Mus musculus: one gene and its partners. The protein of the gene in region 5 interacts with the protein of the main gene of each other region in a pairwise test. Links are inferred from orthologs where the notes say so. Each region holds a gene or a part of one and is shown on either strand. Other genes may lie near its edges.

Region 1 (4,658 bases), on a different chromosome or scaffold from region 5:
GGTTCCTGCCAGTGATAGGAAATAGGATTCAGGAACAACACGAATTGCAGGACAAACCAATCAGGCCTAACAAATTTGCTCTGGGAATCCATATGCAAACAGTCAAGAGTTGGATGCAGGATATAAACACCCTAAATATTCTAATGCAAAAGCATTTGACGGTTCAGAATCCCCTCAGTGTTGACCGAGTAACTCTATATCTTACAACGTTAAACAAGAAGAGCTTCACTTATATTGAGGCTCTTTTTATGTTAGAGAAACATGAAACACTGCAGTGTGGACAGGTCTCTGCCAAGGGGCTGGACATTGCCTTACCTTTGCTACCTTGTAGTCACACAAGTACTCCACCTCATAATTGTTTAGATTCCTTTTGGTGATTCCAATCGATTTACATGTGAGCTTTTCTTTTCTACATAATTCCTGGAGAGTATCAAGTGAAACTAGGCAAGGCACACACCAGGCTACAATAAGAAAATAGAATTCTTTACCAATAAAATAGCTACTAGGCTGAAACAAAAACTTAAAACCCTCTCAACTGACAATGTTATAGTCTAGAAACACATATAACAAGAAGCTACATATGTGTGTTTAAGAAAAAGTTATAGGATAAAGAACTAGTTTTGGTAAATTGGTTTACTTTCCAGTGGACATCTATCCCACTTTTACCCACATTGCCTAATTCTTGCTTGGCTAATTAAAATATTTCACATCTAAAATTTCTTAGGGTTACATATAAATGCGAAGGTAAAATGAAGTAAATTTTTTTACACAGAATAAAACTGTTCTCCTAATAAACAGCTAAGACATTTTGTTAGAAATATATCTAAAAGATATTCTAAAATGGCCACAACTTAAAAGTAACTTCACTTCTTTTAGTCAGATGATAAGAATTTAAATATGAAATCCATATCCTACTTTTTCCATTTTGTAAAAAGTCGAGAGATTTTAGCTTCATTTATTTTGTGCATGGTAAAATGTATTTTCATCATGCATAAGCCAGAGAATTCTACTTTAAGTGGAGAGCATAGTGAGCTTTGTAATACTTGTTTCCTACAGTTTTCAAGCCAGCAGTTACAAAACAGAATACAAGGTGGAAATATTCCATAAGCCAGACTTGAAAATCAGACATACTAAACAATACCCGTACGGAGGCCAGAAATGAACTGTATTACATCCTGGATTTAAAAATATAATCACACAACTGATGTCTAGAAAAATGTAACAAACTTCACTACCCCTACTATCAGGATAAATACAAGATGATCAAAAGTCCTCTGCTCTACCCGTTGGTGGGTCACCTAGCTACACAACTTTGGGAAAGTCCCAATCTTTTTGTGTATGGGATTCACTGGAAAAAAGTGTGTTTTGTTGAGAACAGAGGTGACCAAAGAAAATGTATCTCTAACTCATCAAGCTGTCTTTAGTTCTCCGAAGTGGTGGGCAAAAACCTTTTTAAGGTAAGTTTCCAGGAAGGGACAGCGTAACCGCTCAAATTTTCCCCGCAGTCCTTCCTCATCCTTCCCAGTAAGGACTTCATTGTCAGAAACCAGTGAGGATAGCTTCCGAACTCCAGTGACTGCAAACAACTCATATTTCTGGCACCTGCAAAAAGACTTTCCTTCAAATTTGCCAGAATACATTTATTTGCTTAGGTGTGGCGGTTTGGAGACAAGAAAGCTGTAAAAAACGTCTCATAAATCGCTTCTAAAAATCTTAAGGCTGTTTTGTCTTAATGCTAATCTCCTTATGCTAATCATCTGCAAAGGAGAGTCCTCTTGTTTATGTAACCAAGTTGTTTGCTGTTTTATTTATCTTTTCAATTTTTACCCCTAGCTGAGAATCTGAAAACACAACACTATAATGGAGGGTGGTGTTGAATCGGAGGATCAACGTACATATATTCGTATGAAAACGTCATAACGAAGCGTTACGTGTAATTACAATGCACCGCCCCTCGCAACAGAAATGCTACATTTTGGGGGCATCTCGAAATGTTAAAAAGAAAAATTGCCAACACTTGGTTTACAAAATCCCACAGCCAAAAATGATGAGAGGAAAACGCCTCATTGTCTAGATTATAACATCCCGTTTATAAAAACCATTCCACCATCCCATCCCCACCACGCTTCAAGGAGGCAAGAGCTACCTACGGGAATAATAGTGTCACCATCTGGGTGGAGCGGAGGAAAGAGCTGGAGAACAACCTTTTCATTCCAGAAGGCTTTGCACAACCCAGACTTTCAAAGGGCGCGCGACTCGAGCGCACGCACGCGCACTGCGTGCCCCGGCTTCAGCATCCACAGAAATAACCTGCAAGTTCCAGCCGGGCCCCCCAAAGTTTCCCGGAGCTCAGGGCTGCGTGTGCAGGCGCTTCACGGCGAGGCCAGACCCGCTCGAACGCAGGCACCAGGGGATTCCCTTTCTCCAGCACCGCACCTCAGCCCCGCCACCACCCCCAACCCCCGGCTCGGAGGTGGCGACCGCTACCGCCGCAGCGCGTGTGCTTTCCTGCTCACCCTTGAATAAGGCACCTCGTGCACACTCGTCGCCAAAGACCGCGGCCCGCGGAGCTCCGGACCACGCTCGCTGGGAGCCGGCGCGCCTCTCGCCCGCAGACGGCCGCGAGCGTCGCGCCGTCAGGGTCTCCGCGCGGCGGCGTCTCGCCGTTCGCCTGGCCTTGGGCCTCGGGGGCGGACCTGGAGCCCGGTGACACCGCGCTCCTGCCTCACTGCCCCGTGCCTTGGCCCTGGCCGCCGCCATCTTGCGGAGCTTTCATTCAAACTGGCGCGGTCAGCCCGAAGAACTCAGCTGGCCACACGCCCCGCCCCGGCCCGCCAGGGACTCCGGAGCGGGGAGGCTGAGAGGAGCGAGGCGTTCTGACGTCAGCGGAGACCGACCCCTGCGGTGGTAGCTACCGCGCCTGCGCCGCACGGTGGGGGCGGGAAGGGGCGGGGCCTTCCGTGGAAACTGGCCCTGCCCGTCGCTGGCTTGTTACTCGCTTTGACTTCGGAGGTCGCTTGCCATGATTCTTCATGCGGTCCCCTGAGTCGCTTCACAAAGACCTGACGTGCCCGCCACAAAACGCAAAATAGGCTGTGCGGGGTTAGTGTGCGCAGGTAGCTCCTTTCCCACTCTTGTTCCTCAGCACTTCAACCCAACGAAGCCCCACTACTTTTCCTTTCACTCCACACCACCAGGACTCAGGATCTTAAAATTTGACTGCATGTTGGGTTCACCTGGAGAGGTGCTGTCTGTTTAAACCACTCAAAGAGATTCTGATGAGTTGATGTGGCCATGTAGCAGCTGGACTCAAAGGAAAAGCCTGACAATTGTGAGAATCCAACCAACCCCGCCAAGAACCCTCTTAGTTAAGGCAAACGTAAAAGGTACACTTAGGACAAGGACTTACTAACATTAACAGACTTAAGCTGAGGGCAGGTTTTAGCCATATATGCTTGGGGAGAGTCAGGTCGTTCTCGGTTTTACCACTGTAAATCTGAAAACTTGTAAGAGGAACCATTATACACAAAAGACCATCGGCAATTCTGTAAGCCAGTCATGTCAATGCTATTCACAAGCACATACTGCCTGTCTTCTCTTCAGCCAAAACAGCCTAGCTGCCTTGACCTCTCCATTGCTCCCCTTCCAGCCACTTCCCACCCAGCTAAGGAGACTTTAAAACAGAAAATGAAACAAGCCTCAGACTTGCTTTGTCTGAGAAGCATGTTCAAGTCCTGACCCTTTTGCTTCCACTTTGGTGAGCTGGAATTACAGGTGCTAGCCAAAGCTCCCTTCTCCCCCAATAAACACTTTAAACTGGAAATCACGGTCTAGATCAAAGAACTGACTGACTCCCCTTCATGTGCTGCTCCCTCTCACGTGACTAGATTTAACTCAAATGTTACTTCTTCAGAGGCCACTCAGGCATTCTGTCTGGCTTTGTTCTCTAGCTCTTCTTTAAAAGCTTTTGTCAAAAAACGGTCAGGGTAGAGTCTTACAAATATTTTTGGTCTTGCTAAGTTTTATTTTAAAAATTGGCAAAGGATGCTGGAAGCAGAGGATAGCTTGGTGGAATAGCAGTTGTCTGATAGATCCAAGGCTCTGTGTTTTTTTGTTTGTTTTTTAGACAGGGTTTCTCTGTGTAGCCCTGGCTGTCCTGGAACTCACTTTGTAGACCAGGGCTGGCCTCGAACTCAGAAATCCACCTGCCTCTGCCTTCCGAGTGCTGGGATTAAAGGTATGTGCCACCACTGCCTGGCTCCCTTGTTTTTCTTAATTCTAGGGCATAGAGTAGAGCCAGCCACTCCAACCTTCCTCAGTGTCTACTCTCTATTCTCAGAGTGTAGAAGAGTAGGCCCGAAGCCTCTCAGGAAACCCATGAACACAGAACCCCAGTCTTCCCTGTGTAACAACTTTGTCTCCTGGTGACATGGTTAGCAGCTCTGCAAGTGTTCTGTGATCTTTACACACTAACCTGCACAAAACACACCTCTCAGAACATGTCCTCCTCGCTGAATGGCACCAAGCACTTTCTCCCGGATTCCAGGAATGCCCTGTCATTTGATCTCTGTGGTTTTTCTCATGGATGTACTGTAATTTTCCAGAACTCATACAACATGTATCATATCCTAACAGAGGAAAGTATATATTAAAACATA
Region 2 (4,787 bases), about 12 Mb from region 5:
ACCCCATTATTCTATTCTAAATCCTGCCATATGACTGGTTACCTGGTCCTCAGGTTTTTGCTTTGGTCTCCATCAGCATTCTGGGGTCATTCTCTCACCTGTCTCTGTCCCAACATATTCTCTCTCTCTCTCTCTCTCTCTCTCTCTCTCTGCTGGATGTCCCACCTTTTAACTTCATGCCTAAGCTCATTGGCCAATCAGCTTTTTATTGACAGGTCAATGTTTTTATACAGTGCACAAGAGATTTATCTCTATACTCATTTGGATGATCACCGAAGCTGTTGTTGACAGTTATTCACCTTTTATTGTTTTCCTTTTTTTAAAGACCAATGATTCTAGAGCTAAAGATAATGAAGGACCCTCTGTGTAGCTCAAGCTTGTGCAAGGAGGTGACAGTTGGGTGATTCACTAGCAATATTTTGACTGCCATTAGAAGAATAGAGTCAATCATACATGGTTGTGTGGTGTACTGGAAAGAGCAGGAGATCAGAGGGACTTGGTTAGAATTTAGGTTTTACTCTGTATTGGCTGTGAGATTTTGGATGATACAATTGACTTTCCTGCTTCTCTAGACTGCAATGATTTGAAATGCTAAAAAGAATTCCTACCACTTACATAAAAACACTGTCAGTAAGACAGCTAGTGCCTGCATAGAAACCCTGGAGTATATTAGCATTGTAAGTTTGCACATACAGTTGAAAGGTGTTGAGGAAGGAGATTTATAAGTGTCTACTGATATGTTTATAGATATTTTATTTTCAACTGGAGGTACTGGTAGAAATATTCTTTTTCTATTGTCAAAAAATTTTTTTAGCACACACATCCTTTTTGTTACATGTCACCCAACTAATTAATGAGTTTATTAATTGTTTTATTTTATGAAGTAATTTGTGCATGTAGGTGTATATTACTGGGAGTTGAACTCAGGGCTTAACTGCTAGATTAACTTTTGACTAGCTTATTATAGTCAGGCTCTCATGGAGTTTTTTCTGTTAAGATTCAACAATTCATTTACTCTTTCACTTAGATAACGTAGATCACCTGTTCTCAACCTGTGGCTCTGTAACAACCCTTTCACAGTGGCAGTGTAAGACTTATCAGAAAACACAGATGTTTACACTAGGATTTATAACATAGCAAAATTAGTTATGAAGTAGCAACAAAAATAATTTTATGGTTGGGGGACACCATATTACAAGGTCAAAGCATTAGGAAGATTGAGAACTACTGCCTTAGAGTTTTTAAACCACTCTCTCTCTTTTTTAATGTAGGAGAGTGTGCCTCTTTTCCCACAGCAAACATGGCGGAACAAACTTCAACCTGACGTCTTGCGCCCTCAACAAAGATGGCTACAGCACTTCCTGCTCTTGCCTTTAACAAAGATGGTCGCAATACTTCCTGTCTAGGACTTTTGCCCTCAACAAAGATGGTCTTTATGGTACAGGTTCCCTAGCAGTCTGGATTCCGGTTGTAGTTTTAGTTATTCTTTTTTTTTTTTTTTTTAAACGGTACGTGGTCGCAGACGTAAGTAAGATGACTCCATCTTCTCTCGCTGTCCCCGCGCCGTGGCGACATCGCCCCTGCGCGGCTCTCCCGGGGGCTGGACCGGGGTTCGGGTGGCGGTGCCGGGGGTCGGTTTCCTCCGAGAGGACAGTCTGCGGCTTCATTTACCGTGAAAATCGTCGGTAGCTCTAACTGTGCCACAACCACGGCTTTCAGCTGCCGAGACAGGGAACTTTTTACAAGTTCCAAATGGAAACACGCTGCCAAAACAAAACAAAACAAAACGGTCACCCACGCCCTCCTCACCTGCCACCTCCCGATTTGGCGGAAGATCGCGAGCAAGGCTGGGATCCGACGTCCCGCTTGTGTGGGCTGAGGGTGGCAGAAGCCCCGCCCGCCACCCTTGCTCCCCTTGCCTTCATTGCCACCGCAAGCCACCCCGCAGCACACTAGCGACCTGAGCTCATTCAGTGTCCCATGCATGCGTGCTCACGGCCCTACTGCGACCCACATTCCGAATTCTTGTGAGGCTTATCGGTAAAGGCACACAAACACTCATTTTCTTGAGGGTGCTTGTCCTTTCTTTGAATGCTCTATAAACTTCTTTCCTCCGGACTGTCTTCTATTGCTGGTCAGGGTCTATAAATAAATGTCCCTGGTGCTTTTTAGCAGTTTCTAAAGCGTGGGTGCTGGACTAACTCTGGCAAAGCAATATTGAAATCCACTATTTTCTAGCATTTAATTTTATATAATAATATAAATAGATTAATAAATCTGTAATCCTTAGGGATTGCATTTTAAGTAAGGGATCAGATCTGTTTTCTGTTGGCTCTCTTACTGCACAAGGAATTGAAATAGGGCCCCATTATCGTGAGAAGCAGAGGTAGAAACATCCATAATGAGTGTCGTTCATTATGCCGGGAAGTGTTTGAAATATCCGTGGTTTGGCTTAACAGCCGCTTAGGAAACACCGTGGCTCAGCAGCCTCTTAAGATATAAAGACCTGACTGATTTTTGAGGTGCTCATTAATGAGTTTGCAGCAATACACTGACTTTGGGGGGGGGGGTGTCCATCAGCATTCCTGAAACCTAGGTGCTCATTTTGGCTCTTTCCAGGAAGAAATGGAAGCCAGAGACAAGCAGGTACTCCGCTCCCTGCGTCTGGAGCTGGGTGCCGAGGTACTGGTGGAAGGACTGGTTCTTCAGTACCTTTACCAGGAAGGAATTTTGACAGAAAACCACATTCAAGAAATCAAAGCTCAAACCACAGGCCTCCGGAAGACAATGCTGTTGCTGGACATCCTGCCTTCCAGGGGCCCCAAAGCTTTTGACACCTTCCTCGATTCCCTCCAGGAATTTCCCTGGGTAAGAGAGAAGCTGGAGAAGGCGAGAGAGGAAGTCACAGCCGAGCTGCCTACAGGTAGGCCCCAAAGAGATCCCCTCAAAACAGCTCTGGAAGTGTTGCAACCATGCCCAGTGGATTGGAATTTGGTCTTTTAGGAGGGACCAGGGCCACGAGCATGGGCAACGGTTTGGATGCAGAGGGCATGGCGTCGGAGGGTCAAGACGAGGAGGCGGTGTTAGGAAACTCGAGGAAGGAAGGGAACATGAACCCTGAGGCTGAGGGGTTAAGGAGGGAACTGAGAGTACAATTTAGACATGCTTCCAGGGGAACTTGGCAAGTCACATGGGAGGCTTGTTCTCATCGGAGAGCCAGGTCAATCTGAGCCCTTTGGCAACAGGAACCGTTTGGAAAGCGCAGATGGGAATGCAGGCTTTGGCCTACTGATAACTGATTTGTGGGGTGCCAAGCTGCCAGCTGGAGGAGGTCAGATCATGGGAGACAGCCTCTAGGAAGGCATGTCCTGCACCTGTCCCCACAGCCAGCCTCCAAGGCCAAGGGGATTATTTTGAAGCCTGCCTTTAGTTTGTTTTTAAAGGCTGTTGGTGTAAAGTGGCCCTTTAAAATTCAGCTCTGTGCAGACACCTGGGGAATTTTATTTTGCAAGGGCAGTAATTTGGGGGTGCGAGGGGGGGGCGGATCTTATTTTGATTTTTTTCCAGGAAAAAAAATCCCTGGAAGCAGTGATCTGAAAAGAAACAGCTTGGTGCTTGTGAGAGGAAGGTGCTGCGGTATAAATCACTGTTTTCTTCAACTCCTCCCAGATATACTGCTCTTTCACAAAGATGAGGGACTGACCTAGAAAGATTAATTTTTTTTTTTAAATAATAAAATGGAAAGTTAACCAAGCCAAACCAAATCAGTAGATTTCCAGAGTTAAGAATTCAACGTTTTCTGGTTTTCAGTATAGATATGGACCAAGTCAGTGGTCTCCAGAATTTATTGTTAATGGTTTTTAAAAATGACTGTAACAGAGCTGGTGTGTGTGTGTGTGTGTGTGAGTGTGTGTCAGCAGCGACATTGGTGTCCTGCCTTTATGGAGGCAGAGGCAGGTGGTTCTTTGTGAGCCCAGCCTGGTCTACATAGCAAGTTCTGGGATAGCCAGAGCTACATATTGAATCCCTTTCTACACTCCCAATTTTCAAATAACTGTAATTGGTAACAACAACAACAACAAAAAAAATCAAATACTACCAGTAAATTACTTTTATAATTTAAATGTAAAACTATGGGTCTTATATTTTGAATGGTTCTGAGAGCACATATGATAATTATTTTTTTAAAATTAATGACATATATCTGAATATTTGACCAGAATGGGATAGCCAGTTAATTTAGAAAGACCTGGTGAACACTCAGTGGAAAATCTAAAAATATCTTTATTCCTAGGAGCTTGTCCAAATTACATGTCTTTTTGAAACCATGAGAATGCCGGCCTTTGAGGACCTCTAGAATTTTCAGCTTGGGTTGTCCTTAGAAAATTACATATTCCATGTGTCTGAACAAAACCAGGACCAAGTATCCCTGACATTTCTACCACATTATTACAAGCAGAATATATAACATGGAGTTGCGGAGGGAACATCAATGAGTTGTGCCTTTCTGGTATTCACATCGAAGGCTCTCCTGGCCGCACGCAGTTGGAAATGACAAAAGACCCGAATGCTTTTCACTCCCAAAATGTTGAGTTTAACCAGGTGATTATTTTGGGTTATATAAACGTTGTCATGAATTGTCATAGACATGAGACCCTCATTCTCACTTCTTCAGGTTTATTCAGAGAGCAAGAGAGAACTAAGATATCCTGAAGACATTAAAAAGTTAAGGAGAAACGGAGGGGAAAGGCGCTTTTATATCTAGCTGTTTATCTTCTATGTATGAG
Region 3 (3,999 bases), on a different chromosome or scaffold from region 5:
AAGGAGAAAGGAACAGGAGCAGTTTTTAAAAATTGAACAAATTTGCAAGAAACCCCTAGACCTGTGTCTAGACATAGCAGATACATTCTTAGATGAAAAGAACCAAGCACCCCACTGAGTGGGCAGAGGTGGCAAAAGTGCCATGTGACAGACCTCACGTATCTTCCCTCATGGGCGTTGCAGTGCAGATGTCACTACTTTATCAGAAGGGTCTCAGAGACAAGAGACAGAGGGATGCTGTGTGTGTTTTATATGTACACCCAGTGCTCTCTGAGGAGAGTGCCTACTACCCAGTCACCACAAAGGGAGCAGGATGCAGTACATGGATTACTCTTGGGGACCAAGCTTCAAAGTCAGGATGGAAAATGACAGTGTGATCCTTGGGGTGGGGGTGGGGGGACGACACCACACTGGGTCATTTTCCCAAGAGCCAGATTTGAGTGAGGAAAGAGCTTCACATTTTCCATCCCACTCGCGTCCAGGGAAGTAGCCATTGGATACCCTTGCTTATGCCTCTGTATCCTTCTAGTGATGGAGAGTGGCGGCAGAGACTGTGCTTGCATTGTGACATTGTGAGAGAGATGAGACCTATGCATGGAGATGTCAGAAAAGCAACTTGCAAACTCATTCAAGCAGTGAATTTAAATGTGCATTCATGTCTAGGACAATCAATGTCTAGATTACAGTGTGATCTCTTTGACACCCAGTAATGCAGCCACTTCTCGGGAGAACCATTTACGGCATGTTTTTATCTCCTTAGTTTGGGAAGCCAAAGTTTAAAGGACTATTGAACAAATGAATTTGGGAATTACTACATTGAGTTCAATTAAAAAGCTTTTTTAGCTGAAACATTTGTTTATTGCCCCATATTCAATTCCTATGAAGCTGTTTTCTAGACTGTCTTCAGAGACATTCCTGCACTACAGTCTGTCTTTGCCTTTGGTAATTATGGGTTCTTTTGCTGTAAAGCATTATGGCATCTTCTGTGGCTTCAGAGAAAGATTACCTTTTGTGCAGGGATAATGGACTTCAAAGTCTGCTAAAAGGACATCTTTCCCTGACCATCCAGTTTCATTGCTTCTTTTCCCTCTGCAGTTTCGTGCATTGGCACCAATGTACTATCGAGGGTCAGCAGCAGCCATCATCGTTTACGACATCACAAAAGAAGTAAGACTTTATTCTTTTCTTCTTAGCTGCCATCATGTATTGCTCAGGCCTCTAGCTACTCTCCTTTCACACTGCAGGAGACGTTTTCAACTCTGAAGAACTGGGTGAGAGAGCTCCGCCAGCACGGCCCCCCCAGCATTGTCGTTGCCATCGCAGGGAACAAGTGCGATCTTACTGATGTCAGGTGAGTTCTTAGACGAGATTCCCGGGCTGATTATGTGTTCCTTTTCTAATGAGCCACATCCAGGGTAAGAGTCTAGCTTTTATTTTATCTCTGACATTGAAAAATTTCTTGTGTTACATGGTTGGCCCTGAAGTTCCAAGCTAAAATGAAAACTTAAGGCATTTGGAGTTAATTATATTACATGTAGACAGGTGCGTGATTTACTCTAACATTAGTGTTATCACACATGACGTTATCTGAGATCATTGCTTCCCCAGGCTGCTGTGACACAGAGCACCTGAATACAAAAAGTCCATTTTATCGACAATCTCTCTGTATCACATCTGATTCCCAAAGGAAGGGCCTTGGCTTTGTTTTCCCGGGGGACGGGACGGGGGACGGGGGGAGGGGGGGGTGAGGGGTGTTTAATATAGAGGTTATATAAAACCTTATCAGGAAGATCATGTAACTGGAAAGACTGCTTACATGGGGGCTGGGGGGGTCTTAAGGGGCAGAACCTCTGACTCGCAGTTGTTGCCTTCCAGAGAAGTCATGGAGAGAGATGCTAAGGACTACGCAGATTCCATTCATGCCATCTTTGTAGAGACCAGCGCAAAAAATGCAATAAACATAAATGAACTCTTTATAGAAATTAGTAAGTATCTCTGCATCTTGTGGGTTTCCTCTGTTCGGGGCAAACACAAACAGAATTCTCTTTGTGGTTAGAATCTCAGCTTGTTTGGTGTAGTCTCTGAGACTGTCCACGAAAGGAAATTTAAGCAGATGAGAACGGCCAGTGTCTGTCATGTGGGGTTTCTGGGTGTTGTGAGATAATCTTTCCAGAAAGAAAGCCTCTCAGTGCCTAAGCCATTTTGTGCTCTCCTCGTCTACATATGTCTCAGTCACTCACTCATCCAGAACCATCAGAAATGAACAAAGTCAGGTCTGGAGAGATGGCGCAGGGGTTAGGATCATATGCAGCTCTGCCAGAGGACCTGAGTTTGGTCCCAGCACCCACATCATGCTCACAGCCACCTGGAACTCCAGCTCTAGGGGACCTGACCCTTCTGACCTCTGTGCAGCTGTACTTTGGTGCTCATACCTATATGCAGACACACAGAATTAAAAGTACTCACAGTTTCTAAAATAAAAGCACAGAATACCTCAAGAGAAATGAAATGTATGTAGGATCTGTTTGTAAGAAAACCTCCAAAACTAGTCCTCAGCAATGGAAGGGTCAGTCCTCTCCCCTTCTCTTCCCTCAGAGTGTTAACAGGCTGACGGTAGGTGAGAAGAGGCTGCCTCAAGCCTTGGGATTTTCTGTAGATCACATCTGTGTTTATTCATTTCATTCCAATTCATCAAAATGTTTATTGGGAACTGTTCCAGACTCAAGGGATCAGCCTAAAGAAGATAGACACAGCCCTTGCTCTCTGAGAGCGCGTGTTCTGTTGAAGGAGTCAGGCAGTGAACTCCAGATAAATAGGGTCATTTCACATAATAATAAGAGATATGAAGAAAGCAATTGTAGTAGATGTAAGAATGTGTGCAGACGGTCCCAGAAAGCCCCTCTGGGGGAAGAACTGGGAGCTGAGACCTGATGAGGGAAGGCGGTTGGGGAGCGTCTCTGAGGCAGTGGGGTGGGAGCTGAACCTGACAGTACAGGCCTGCAAGAGCGGGATTGTTTGCTTTCACTCAGCATAGCCAGCTCCCGGATAGGGAGTAGTCACGCAAGCATCGTGCCTCTGTACCCATTAACTGCCCTTAGGTCGCCATCCAAAGTAGCTGGAAGCTAGAAGGACTCTTGGCCTTGGTGAGGGTGAGAGTCATGAATGGCAGGAGCCACCAGAACCATACAGGGCCTGCCCAGGGGAGCAGCCCTGTAGCACCCATGCCTGCGATCGCAGCAGGTGGGCCCCTCTGGGGTCTGGAGATCAGAGCTGTTTGATTTTCATTTTGTGTTGCTCTTTTGAGACAGGGTCTCAAGAGTCTTAACTTTGTAGCTCAGGCTTGAACTCAGAGAAGTCCCCTGCCTCAGCCTTCCAACTAATAGAATTTATGAGTGAACATACCTGTGATAGTTTAGATGGCTCAGAGATGTGGATTTGTATTTATGTGTTTCATTGTTTCATTTTGGCCATTAATTTAAACCTTTCTAGAGTCCTTTGCAGATATCAGACAGCCAGTGTGGCCTGCCATTGGCTCACTGAAGCATCTGTTTATTTCAGGGTTAGCCTGGGTCATTCTTGAAAGGCAGTCTAAGTTTTGTCAATAGTCTTCACACTTTTTTGAGTGTCTCCATATAGCGTGTCATCTGTTGCATCCATTCCTGGTTTTGTTGTGGGTTCTTTTTCTAGTTTTGAAAATAAACATGTATTGGACTATATGAGCAACAAATCCTTATACCAAAACCCAGCAAGCAGGATACAGCCCTGTGGTAGTGACTTTGCTGTCATGTTCAGGACCTTGGATTCAGTTGCCTGCACTGCAAAGAGAGAGAGAGAGAGACAGACAGACAGACAGACAGATAGTACATACCATAACTGAGAAGAACTGAACATGGCCAGGCAGGTGGAAACTGGACAGAGCTAGAAGTCATCTTTATTTTTTGCTCAGTGAGTATTGTAAGGTAACATGTACCTGGCATACAGGCTTTGGGTTGGAGCATA
Region 4 (3,856 bases), on a different chromosome or scaffold from region 5:
GCCTGACCCCCTCTGGCCATCTGTGGCTCAGGGGACAAAACAAGTGCCTACCTCCCCCTGAAGCTCAAACAGGCCAGTCCCAGAAACCCAGGAGGGGAGGGCCTAAGAGCTCCTTACAAAACGAAAGTGTGAAGAATCCTTAGAGTCTCTTAGCGTTCTTCCTGCGGGAGAAGAGTTGAAGCCCAAACAGACTCGGCCCTGAGACTCAGGAGGGGAGGCCCTAGGCACTACAACCTACCCTAATGTATTAAACCGAGGTGTGCAGCAGCCTTAAGTCCTCCTGCTTTTTTCCTGAGGGTGAAGGGTTGGAGCTGTAGGGAGTAGGGTGACCAGGGGAGGGAACTCAAGGTGGTAGTAAGTACATCAATAATCAAGTTTCTGGCCCTGAGATAAACTAGGGGTGTGTATGGATTTAGCCAATAGCAATAGCTCCAGCAGGGAGCAGCAGAGAGCTGGGACAGCCTAGCTGTTGCCATTCAGAATCAGCTGATGGTCTGAACCAGGATGGACAGTGTTGAACCTGGCATGGAGGTGTCACGAAGGACAGTGGTAGTGATGGGCTGTAGCACCGGCCTTACGACCAGTACTCGGTGTTCCTCGTCAGGGAGAGGAGATATTTAAAAAAAAAAAAAAGGTCTGAGTCCTAATTAGGTCCTATCAAAAAACCCTCACAGGTCACTTCAGACACCAACAATCTTCAAATACAGGTTGCATATCCTTTAATGTAAGCTGGGGGGAGACAGATGTCAGCCCCAGGTCAGTCCTATCCTCTTCCACCATCAGAACTACCAACAGCAGGGCTTCTTTCTTTTGGTTACCATGACCACCAGCATCCTCTCACACACAGGGAGTAGAGCCATTTAATGAGATTGGATGATTCATTTAAATTAACTTCAGGAAAAACAGAGAGGCTACGTATGGCCTGATCAGCTGCCAGAGAAGGACGAGGAAGACAAGCGTGAGGTCGATCGATCGGCTGACTATATTGACAAGATACTGATTGGTTACATGGTGAAGAAAACATACAATACAAAATACAGAAAAAGTTGGTTCCATCCCTCCCACTCCCCCCCCTTACCCACCCACCCCCAAATACTCATCATCGTGATTTGGTCAGAACAGGGCTCAGAGCCAGAGGTCAGAGTGACCAAGGGTGGAGGGATCCTGGGCCATGGGTGTCCGGCTGTCAATAATGATGCTTAAGTAATGCTGCGGTTTCTCTCCCAGCTGGGAGTCAGTTGGGGAGGAGGCTGCAGCCTGATTGACAGCCAGCTGAGGGAAGAGCAGCCTGTCCCTTCCCCAGCTCAGGGCCTGCCCACTGCCCCAGCCTAAGACGCTCCCAACAAGTTAAGATGTGGGTGCTCTTGCTGAGTCCGCTCTCCAGCAAGAAGGGAAGAAAGGGTGACTGCTCCAAGCCCTGTCCCCACGGATGAGGAGCACAGGAGCATGGCTACTACCAGCAAAGGGCAAGTGGGGGAGCGGGAGAAAGGGACCTGGGAAGAGCAGAAGATCATATATATTAAAAAAGTGACTTAAGACTTAAAATTGAATTAGTATTTGTACAGAAAGGTGCAGGTGGAATAACTCCCTCCGGCCTAGGATCAAAGTTATGCGGAGAATTCTTGATGGACCCTTCCCCTGCCCCCAGTGGTGGCCCGAGTTGTTAAGTGCGATTGGTTAGAGTAGATTCCAGTCGGGTCATTGTGGTGGAGGAGTGGGGGCAGTGGCAGGTAAGGGGGCTCAGTTGCTGCAGCACTGGCTCCGGCTGGCTGGGTTGCTCTCCTGCAGATCCACACCTCTGGTTCGGCCCGGAGCCCCAGCCGCATTCTGGGGCTCATTCTTGGGAAGCTTCTTAGCTGTTAGGGAGAGAAGGGGAAGTAGGTTTTGAGGTCACCCTAACACTCTCCCCTACTCAGTGACAGCCAGAATACTGGAGGGCTTGTGTGCCAGGTATACTGTGTCCCTAGAAACTGAAGCAGAGAACTTGCCCAAAACCCGAGTGACAACCGGCATTGCCAGGATTTGAACTCATAGACAGAAGGATTCCTGAGGCAAATGAGCTAAAGTCCTATGGGGGAAGACATGGCAATGGAAGGCTCTGACATGGGCAGGGAGAATAACACTTAGACTGGTCCAGGCATTAGAAAGTTTTGCATCTGGGAGTCAGACGATTTTACCAGTTAATTTTATTTAAAAAATTTTTAATTTTAGGTATATGAGCACACTGTCACTGACACACCAGAATCGGATCGAATGATTGTGAGCTGGGAATTGAACTCATGATCTCTGGAAGAGCAGCTGGTGCTCTTAACTACTGAGCCATCTCTCCAGCTCAATTTTATAAGTTTAAATGGTAAAAATTCTGCTGGGGAAGATATCCCACAGACCCACTAGAGACTAGCACACAGGGTCCTGTTCTGCTCAGGGGAAGGACAGGGAGAGACAACTTACCTATTGCCATGAAAATTTCATTCACGTTCATTGCAGTCTTGGCAGACGTCTCCATGAAGAGCAAGCTGTTGTCATCTGCATAGGCTTGTGCTTCCTGACTCAGGCATGTGAGGAAGAGAGTGGGAGGGGAACATGGCAGATGGCAGGGCTAAGACCCAGGATAAGATCTTCCTTGGTCTCTGCCCTTATAAATCAAGAGACTGACTGGGCAAATGCAGGGGTTTCAGGCTTAGGGTTCCCCTGTTCTGGGTTTCCCCAAAACACCAGCATCACCTGCTCTCCACTCACACGCCACACCTCGCAGTTCACAAATATTGGCAGATTCTTAATAGCTTCCCTAGGTCCTCTCTGTCTACTTGTTCTTCAAAATCACCAGGCGAAAGATCCTCCTGGAGAGAGATCTCCTGCACTATGCCTGCACATCTGGACAAAAGCATGAGCAGATGTGGATGCCACCTGCAGCACTGTCTCTAGTCCTCAGCGGTTATAAGCAATCCAGGAGGCCATCGAGTTAGGACTGGAAAAAGATGAACTGAGGGGTGTGGAGGCTCATGATTGTAACCCCAGGAAAAACAAGAGGTTCAGGAGTTCAAGGCCAGCAGCCTGGGCTACTACATACTACATGAGATACTTCCTGCTCCCCACCCCTACAAAAAACATAGGACACTGTAACATATAGTACATGTGGTACACAGCATATTCCCATCCATGATGTAAAGTAAAAGATATGTACATTTTTGGGAAAACCAAAACCTGGGAATTCTGGATAAGAGAGGCTAAGTTTCTAGGATTAAAGACACTAAACTCATTCTCTAGGCCTTGTTGGAGTATTTGAAGTTTACATGCATGCATTGCCTAAAAAAGTACTGCTTCAGTCCATTTGGCTTACAAAGCAAACGTGCAGAAATATTACCTATCCACCCACTCCCACAACACAAAGACAATTCCTTTATGGCCTGTGCTTGAGTCCTGAGAGGACAGCAGATGAGAGCTGCCACTGCCTGTCACCTTACAGGGCCCAGGCAGCCTGGAGAGGCCTCCCTTACAGAGCCAATGCACCCTTCCCCAAGTTCTGTCACTTTACCTGAAACTCCACAGCTCTCTTGCTGGCCAGGTCTGCTTTGTTCCCCGCTAGTGCAATGACGATGTTGGGGCTGGCCTGCCTCTGTAACTCCTTCACCCAATTCTTAGCCCGTGCAAATGTATCCTGAGGAGACAGGATGGCAATGTCAAAGGGACAAAGGAAATAGTCTACTCAGGGTTACTCAGTTGCAAATGCAAACTGGCATAGCCATAGGCATTTGAAACATCACCCCTAAAGATTCTTATGCTCTTTTTCCAGTCAACAGGAAATCCGCCCATACACCACCCCGAACAGAAGGCTGAGTGGTCTGAAATGAGGTTG
Region 5 (3,999 bases):
CCCTCCCTCCCTCCCTCCCCCCCCTCCCTCCCTCCCTCCCTCCCCCCCCTCCCTCCCTCCCTCCCTTCCTGATGGTGTTTTGCCTCCGTGTATGTCAGTGTACCACATGCATGCAGTACCCTTGGAGGCCAGAACAGAGTATCTGTTCTCCTGGGACTGAAATTCCGGCTTATTGTCAGCACCATGTGGGTACAGAGCCCAGGTCTTTTGCAAGAACCACCAGTCCACTTAACCACTGAGCCATCTCCATACCTACTCACTCTCCCCTTGCTTACCCCCAATAGCTGGTACTACAGGCATTTGCCATAGGCCAGGGTCAGTGGGGGCATAGTCTAACAGTACTGAGCAACAACTGAAAGATGATTAGAAGACCCCATCCTTGTTTACAAAACTAACGTGCTAAAAACATGCTACACGTGGTCTTTTTTAAATTTTTTTCTTTCAAGACCGGTTTCTCTGTGTGGCCCTGGCTAGCCTGGACTTGGCTTTGAACTCAGAGATCTGCCTGCCTCTGCCTCCTGAGTGTTGGGATTAAAGGTGAGTGCCACCATGCCCAGGTCTGGAGTTAGTTTTACATAAATAGTTTTATTTGAGGCAAGATCCTGCCACATAGACTAGGTTGGTCTTGAACACAGTGACTCCTGTCTCAGTCTTTACAGTTCTGGGATTATCTTGCAAGTGCTTCAAATTACTGAAATTGTCCTGGCTTGGATTTCAAAGTCTGCTTCATAGAATTAGGTCTTGAATTCAGTGACCCTTCTGTCTCAGCCTCCCAAATGATGGGATTATAGATGTTTTCTATGACTTCAGCTAGGCATGGCCCATCACACCCAGCTGAATCTAAAATACTTGTGTGTGGACTGTGCCAAGTCATTGAGGTACATGGTGCTGTGCAGTCATTTCTAAAGCAGAGTCTGTCAGTAAAACAAAACCTAGTTTAGCCAAATCCCTTTTAAAGGGTTATTTTTGTTTATGTGTATAAGGTTTTTCTCACATGTGTATGTGTTTGTATATGTATATGCATGTGCTATGTGTGCCTGTGGAAGCCAAACCGTGTCAGATCTGAACTGGAGCTAAGGCAGTTATAAGCAGCTATACAGGTACTGGTAAGCAAACCCAGCTTGCGGTCGGTCCCCTGCAAGAACACTAGATGCTCTTAACTGCTGAGTCTTTTCTCTAGCAATGTTCAAGTAGATTTAAAGTAAATTTTTAAGTTTATGTGCACCTTGCGTGCCTGGTACATGTAAAGGCTGGAAAAGGGCGTGGGGCCCTCTGGTGCTGGTTGTGAGCTGCCATGTGGGCAATGGGAACCGAAAGCAACCCTGGGCCCTCTCTATGAGCAGCACACGAGCCCTGAGAAACCACCCCTGAGAAGGACTCTTGGCTCCTGTAAATTCTCAAGTATTATTAAACTCGAGGGGAGTCATTAGAAAGACTTGCATCCTAGAAACAATGTGAGATTCCCTTCAAGAAGCCATATTAGAGATCTTGCAAATGCTTCAAATTACTGAAATTGTCCTGGCTTGGATCTCAACATCTGCTTCATTGAATTCAGTGACCCTTCTGTCTCTGCCTCCTTAATGATGGGATTATAGATGTCTTCTGTCACTTCAGCTACCATGATTCCACTTTAAATATGATCATTTTTTCCTCTGAAAAACCTGCTCTATAGAAATCTAATAACAAATTAGATTTGATAGTGCCTCTGGGCAGGAGCTTCAAAAAGGGCATGGTATGGCTAAAGCTAAAATGGCCTTCCTTTTTTGTCCAAGTTTTCACAGAACATGCTGGAGCTTTAGGACAGGACTTCTCACGTTCGGGACCCTCTTCATTTGTACAGGCCAAAGAGCCGTGAGCCTGGGCACTTACCTTCTGCTTCAGGGAATGAGCCATCCTCCGTCTCACCGAAAGGGTTGGTGCGCCTAGGGGACAGCCAGAGGTCAGCCAGAGGTCAGCCAGAGGTCAGCAGTCCTGACAGCTGCAGCTGGCAAGATGCTTAGCACCTGAGCTCCTGGCATCCCAGGGTACCCCAGTAGCAGTCTGGTGGTGGTAAAGACATAGACAAACTGCCGCTCATTTTCCCAAGCCTGCCACCTCAGGTATTACCTGCCACCCCTGTTCTGGTCAAGGAATTCTGTTGCCGGAAGTACAATATCAAACTGAATGGGTGTCCCAGGTGCAATCAGTTCCTCTGTTTCAGGAATGCTGGCTGTTGCTTTGGGAACAATATTGTCATCTTCTATGTCTGAATTTTTTATGTTTTGACTAAAATATAAAAAGGGAGAAAATCTTGATCAAATTTTGCACTTGTTTAATGCTGCTGTGACTTTTACATATTGAAATACAAAGGAGCCTCCAACTGCTCTCAGGCCATTCTACAAATAAACCTTCCACAACTGCACGTCCTTGCTTAGAGCCATTCAGTTCTTCATGCTATAGTCAGTCCCTCTGCTGCTCACCATTCTGAGCAGTGCGTTAGGACTTACATAATAATTTCTCCCTTAGAAATGGGTTTTTAGGACTGAGGCTACAGCCAGCTCACACTGACACATAGTAGGTACTGAAGACATGTTAGCTGAAAAAACAAAACATCTGGACCTGACACTTCACTGCAACCCAACTGTAATTTTCTGAAAATCCCCTTTCCACTCACTAGACCACCGCTTGAGAGAGACAGCAAACATGCCACGTGTTCCTGTTCCTGTGAGTTCCATCCCAATGCTTAGCCAATTCTCCTTGCACCGGCTCCGTTATACCATTGTGCCAGCCATTCTTCTGTCCCTTCTCTGAATTCTCTGATACTTTTCAATAAGTCACAGTACTTGGTCCCCTGTGCCTCCTGAGCACTGCACTGTGTCTCATCTGCAGCTAGAGACAGCGCCTGTAAACGTAGTGTGCTTGCACAGTGAGGAGCCTGTCCTACACTGTCCTGCTGCTTCTCTTGAGGACAGAATGCTGTCATTTAACTTTACCCTTTAAAAATCCTTTTTAAGGTACAGTGCAAACTTTGAAGGGCACTGAATGTCACAACATTTCCATTCCTTACACAGTCTGGGCCACAAGAGCCCTCCAGAATCTTTTCACTTGGTATTTTTACATCAGCATTTTCTGGTTTCTCAAACATGTCCTAACTGAATACTTTATAGGGACTGCAATGGCTACTTGACATACTTCTATGCAGTGTTGCCCCTTTCTCAATCCTTTGGCCTGTACACTGCCTGTAATCCCTGAGCAGGAATCGCCAAGGCTTTCTGCAATGACTCAAATCTATCTGGTGGCCTTACCTATCGTTCTTTCTCACAGACCAATGCCAGGTGCCTAAACCCGGAGAAGCTACACAATCAGAGTTTCCTAAGGACTCCTGCCTTCTGGGCCATTAAGTATTTGTAGGACATCTGATGGAGTTCTTTCTACCATGCCACTAAAAGACACAGTTAGAGTCTTGATTTTAATATGCCCCTTGATGCCATTAATGCAACAGAAAGGCAAACCTCTCCTACCTAATTAACCACTTGAAAACTCCCACTGAGATAAGATGTAGGAGCTCTAGAATACATCCTTAGGCAGTATTCAGAGGAAAAGCTGTGTGCATGGAAATGCTCAGCTAATGGAGATGGGAAAACCAGGTGTGGGAGAGGATACCTGTAACTCCAGCACTTGGGAGGCTGAGGCAAGGAGGGCTACAGGGATGAGGCCGGCCAGGTGATCTGATGTGACTCTTCCCATAACCCCAAATATTCAATGCTAATACATGACTGTAAGACGTAGTATAAGAATTAGAGAAATGTAGTCAAGTAAGTGGAAACCTGGATGCACTTAATGAACCTATGCATATGCAGAGAAGGCTGAGCCCAGACCACGGACACACAGAAGGTGACACAGCTACGGTACCATGATGCTAACACAGCTGCAGGAGGGTCTGTCATGTGTGGCTGTGGCCCTGGACAATCAGGTCTGAATACTGATCCCACCTCTCTCTGTGCTGTGAGTGTGGGCACA

Evidence for each region.
Region 1: the proteins of Appl2 (region 5) and Suv39h2 interact in binary tests that used the Homo sapiens proteins (3 or more experiments, as listed by UniProt). The link is inferred for Mus musculus from reciprocal best matches to the Homo sapiens genes APPL2 and SUV39H2.
Region 2: the proteins of Appl2 (region 5) and Cradd interact in binary tests that used the Homo sapiens proteins (3 or more experiments, as listed by UniProt). The two-hybrid records come from large-scale screens. The link is inferred for Mus musculus from reciprocal best matches to the Homo sapiens genes APPL2 and CRADD.
Region 3: the proteins of Appl2 (region 5) and Rab22a interact in binary tests that used the Homo sapiens proteins (3 or more experiments, as listed by UniProt). The two-hybrid records come from large-scale screens. The link is inferred for Mus musculus from reciprocal best matches to the Homo sapiens genes APPL2 and RAB22A.
Region 4: the proteins of Appl2 (region 5) and Rab5c interact in binary tests that used the Homo sapiens proteins (3 or more experiments, as listed by UniProt). The two-hybrid records come from large-scale screens. The link is inferred for Mus musculus from reciprocal best matches to the Homo sapiens genes APPL2 and RAB5C.

What each region holds. Positions count from the first base shown.
Region 1 is NC_000068.7:3,472,187-3,476,844, forward strand, and holds the start of Suv39h2 (histone-lysine N-methyltransferase SUV39H2), read right to left. Parts: upstream 2,801-4,658; 5' UTR 2,761-2,800; coding exon 2,517-2,760; intron 2,026-2,516; exon of another isoform or gene 1,846-2,025; coding exon of another isoform or gene 1,834-1,845; intron 462-1,833; coding exon 316-461; intron 1-315. UniProt on the Homo sapiens protein: Histone methyltransferase that specifically trimethylates 'Lys-9' of histone H3 using monomethylated H3 'Lys-9' as substrate.
Region 2 is NC_000076.6:95,320,722-95,325,508, reverse strand, and holds the start of Cradd (death domain-containing protein CRADD), read left to right. Parts: upstream 1-1,799; 5' UTR 1,800-2,040; intron 2,041-2,619; 5' UTR 2,620-2,625; coding exon 2,626-2,923; intron 2,924-4,787. UniProt on the Homo sapiens protein: Adapter protein that associates with PIDD1 and the caspase CASP2 to form the PIDDosome, a complex that activates CASP2 and triggers apoptosis.
Region 3 is NC_000068.7:173,694,015-173,698,013, forward strand, and holds part of Rab22a (ras-related protein Rab-22A), read left to right. Parts: intron 1-1,095; coding exon 1,096-1,167; intron 1,168-1,244; coding exon 1,245-1,351; intron 1,352-1,875; coding exon 1,876-1,985; intron 1,986-3,999. UniProt on the Homo sapiens protein: Plays a role in endocytosis and intracellular protein transport. Mediates trafficking of TF from early endosomes to recycling endosomes. Required for NGF-mediated endocytosis of NTRK1, and subsequent neurite outgrowth.
Region 4 is NC_000077.6:100,714,307-100,718,162, forward strand, and holds the end of Rab5c (ras-related protein Rab-5C), read right to left. Parts: intron 3,659-3,856; coding exon 3,536-3,658; intron 2,600-3,535; coding exon of another isoform or gene 2,546-2,599; coding exon 2,452-2,545; intron 1,857-2,451; coding exon 1,741-1,856; 3' UTR 697-1,740; downstream 1-696. Other genes in the region: Hspb9 (heat shock protein beta-9), read left to right, coding at 1-143. UniProt on the Homo sapiens protein: The small GTPases Rab are key regulators of intracellular membrane trafficking, from the formation of transport vesicles to their fusion with membranes.
Region 5 is NC_000076.6:83,606,831-83,610,829, forward strand, and holds part of Appl2 (DCC-interacting protein 13-beta), read right to left. Parts: intron 2,266-3,999; coding exon 2,107-2,265; intron 1,923-2,106; coding exon 1,870-1,922; intron 1-1,869. UniProt on the Homo sapiens protein: Multifunctional adapter protein that binds to various membrane receptors, nuclear factors and signaling proteins to regulate many processes, such as cell proliferation, immune response, endosomal trafficking and cell metabolism.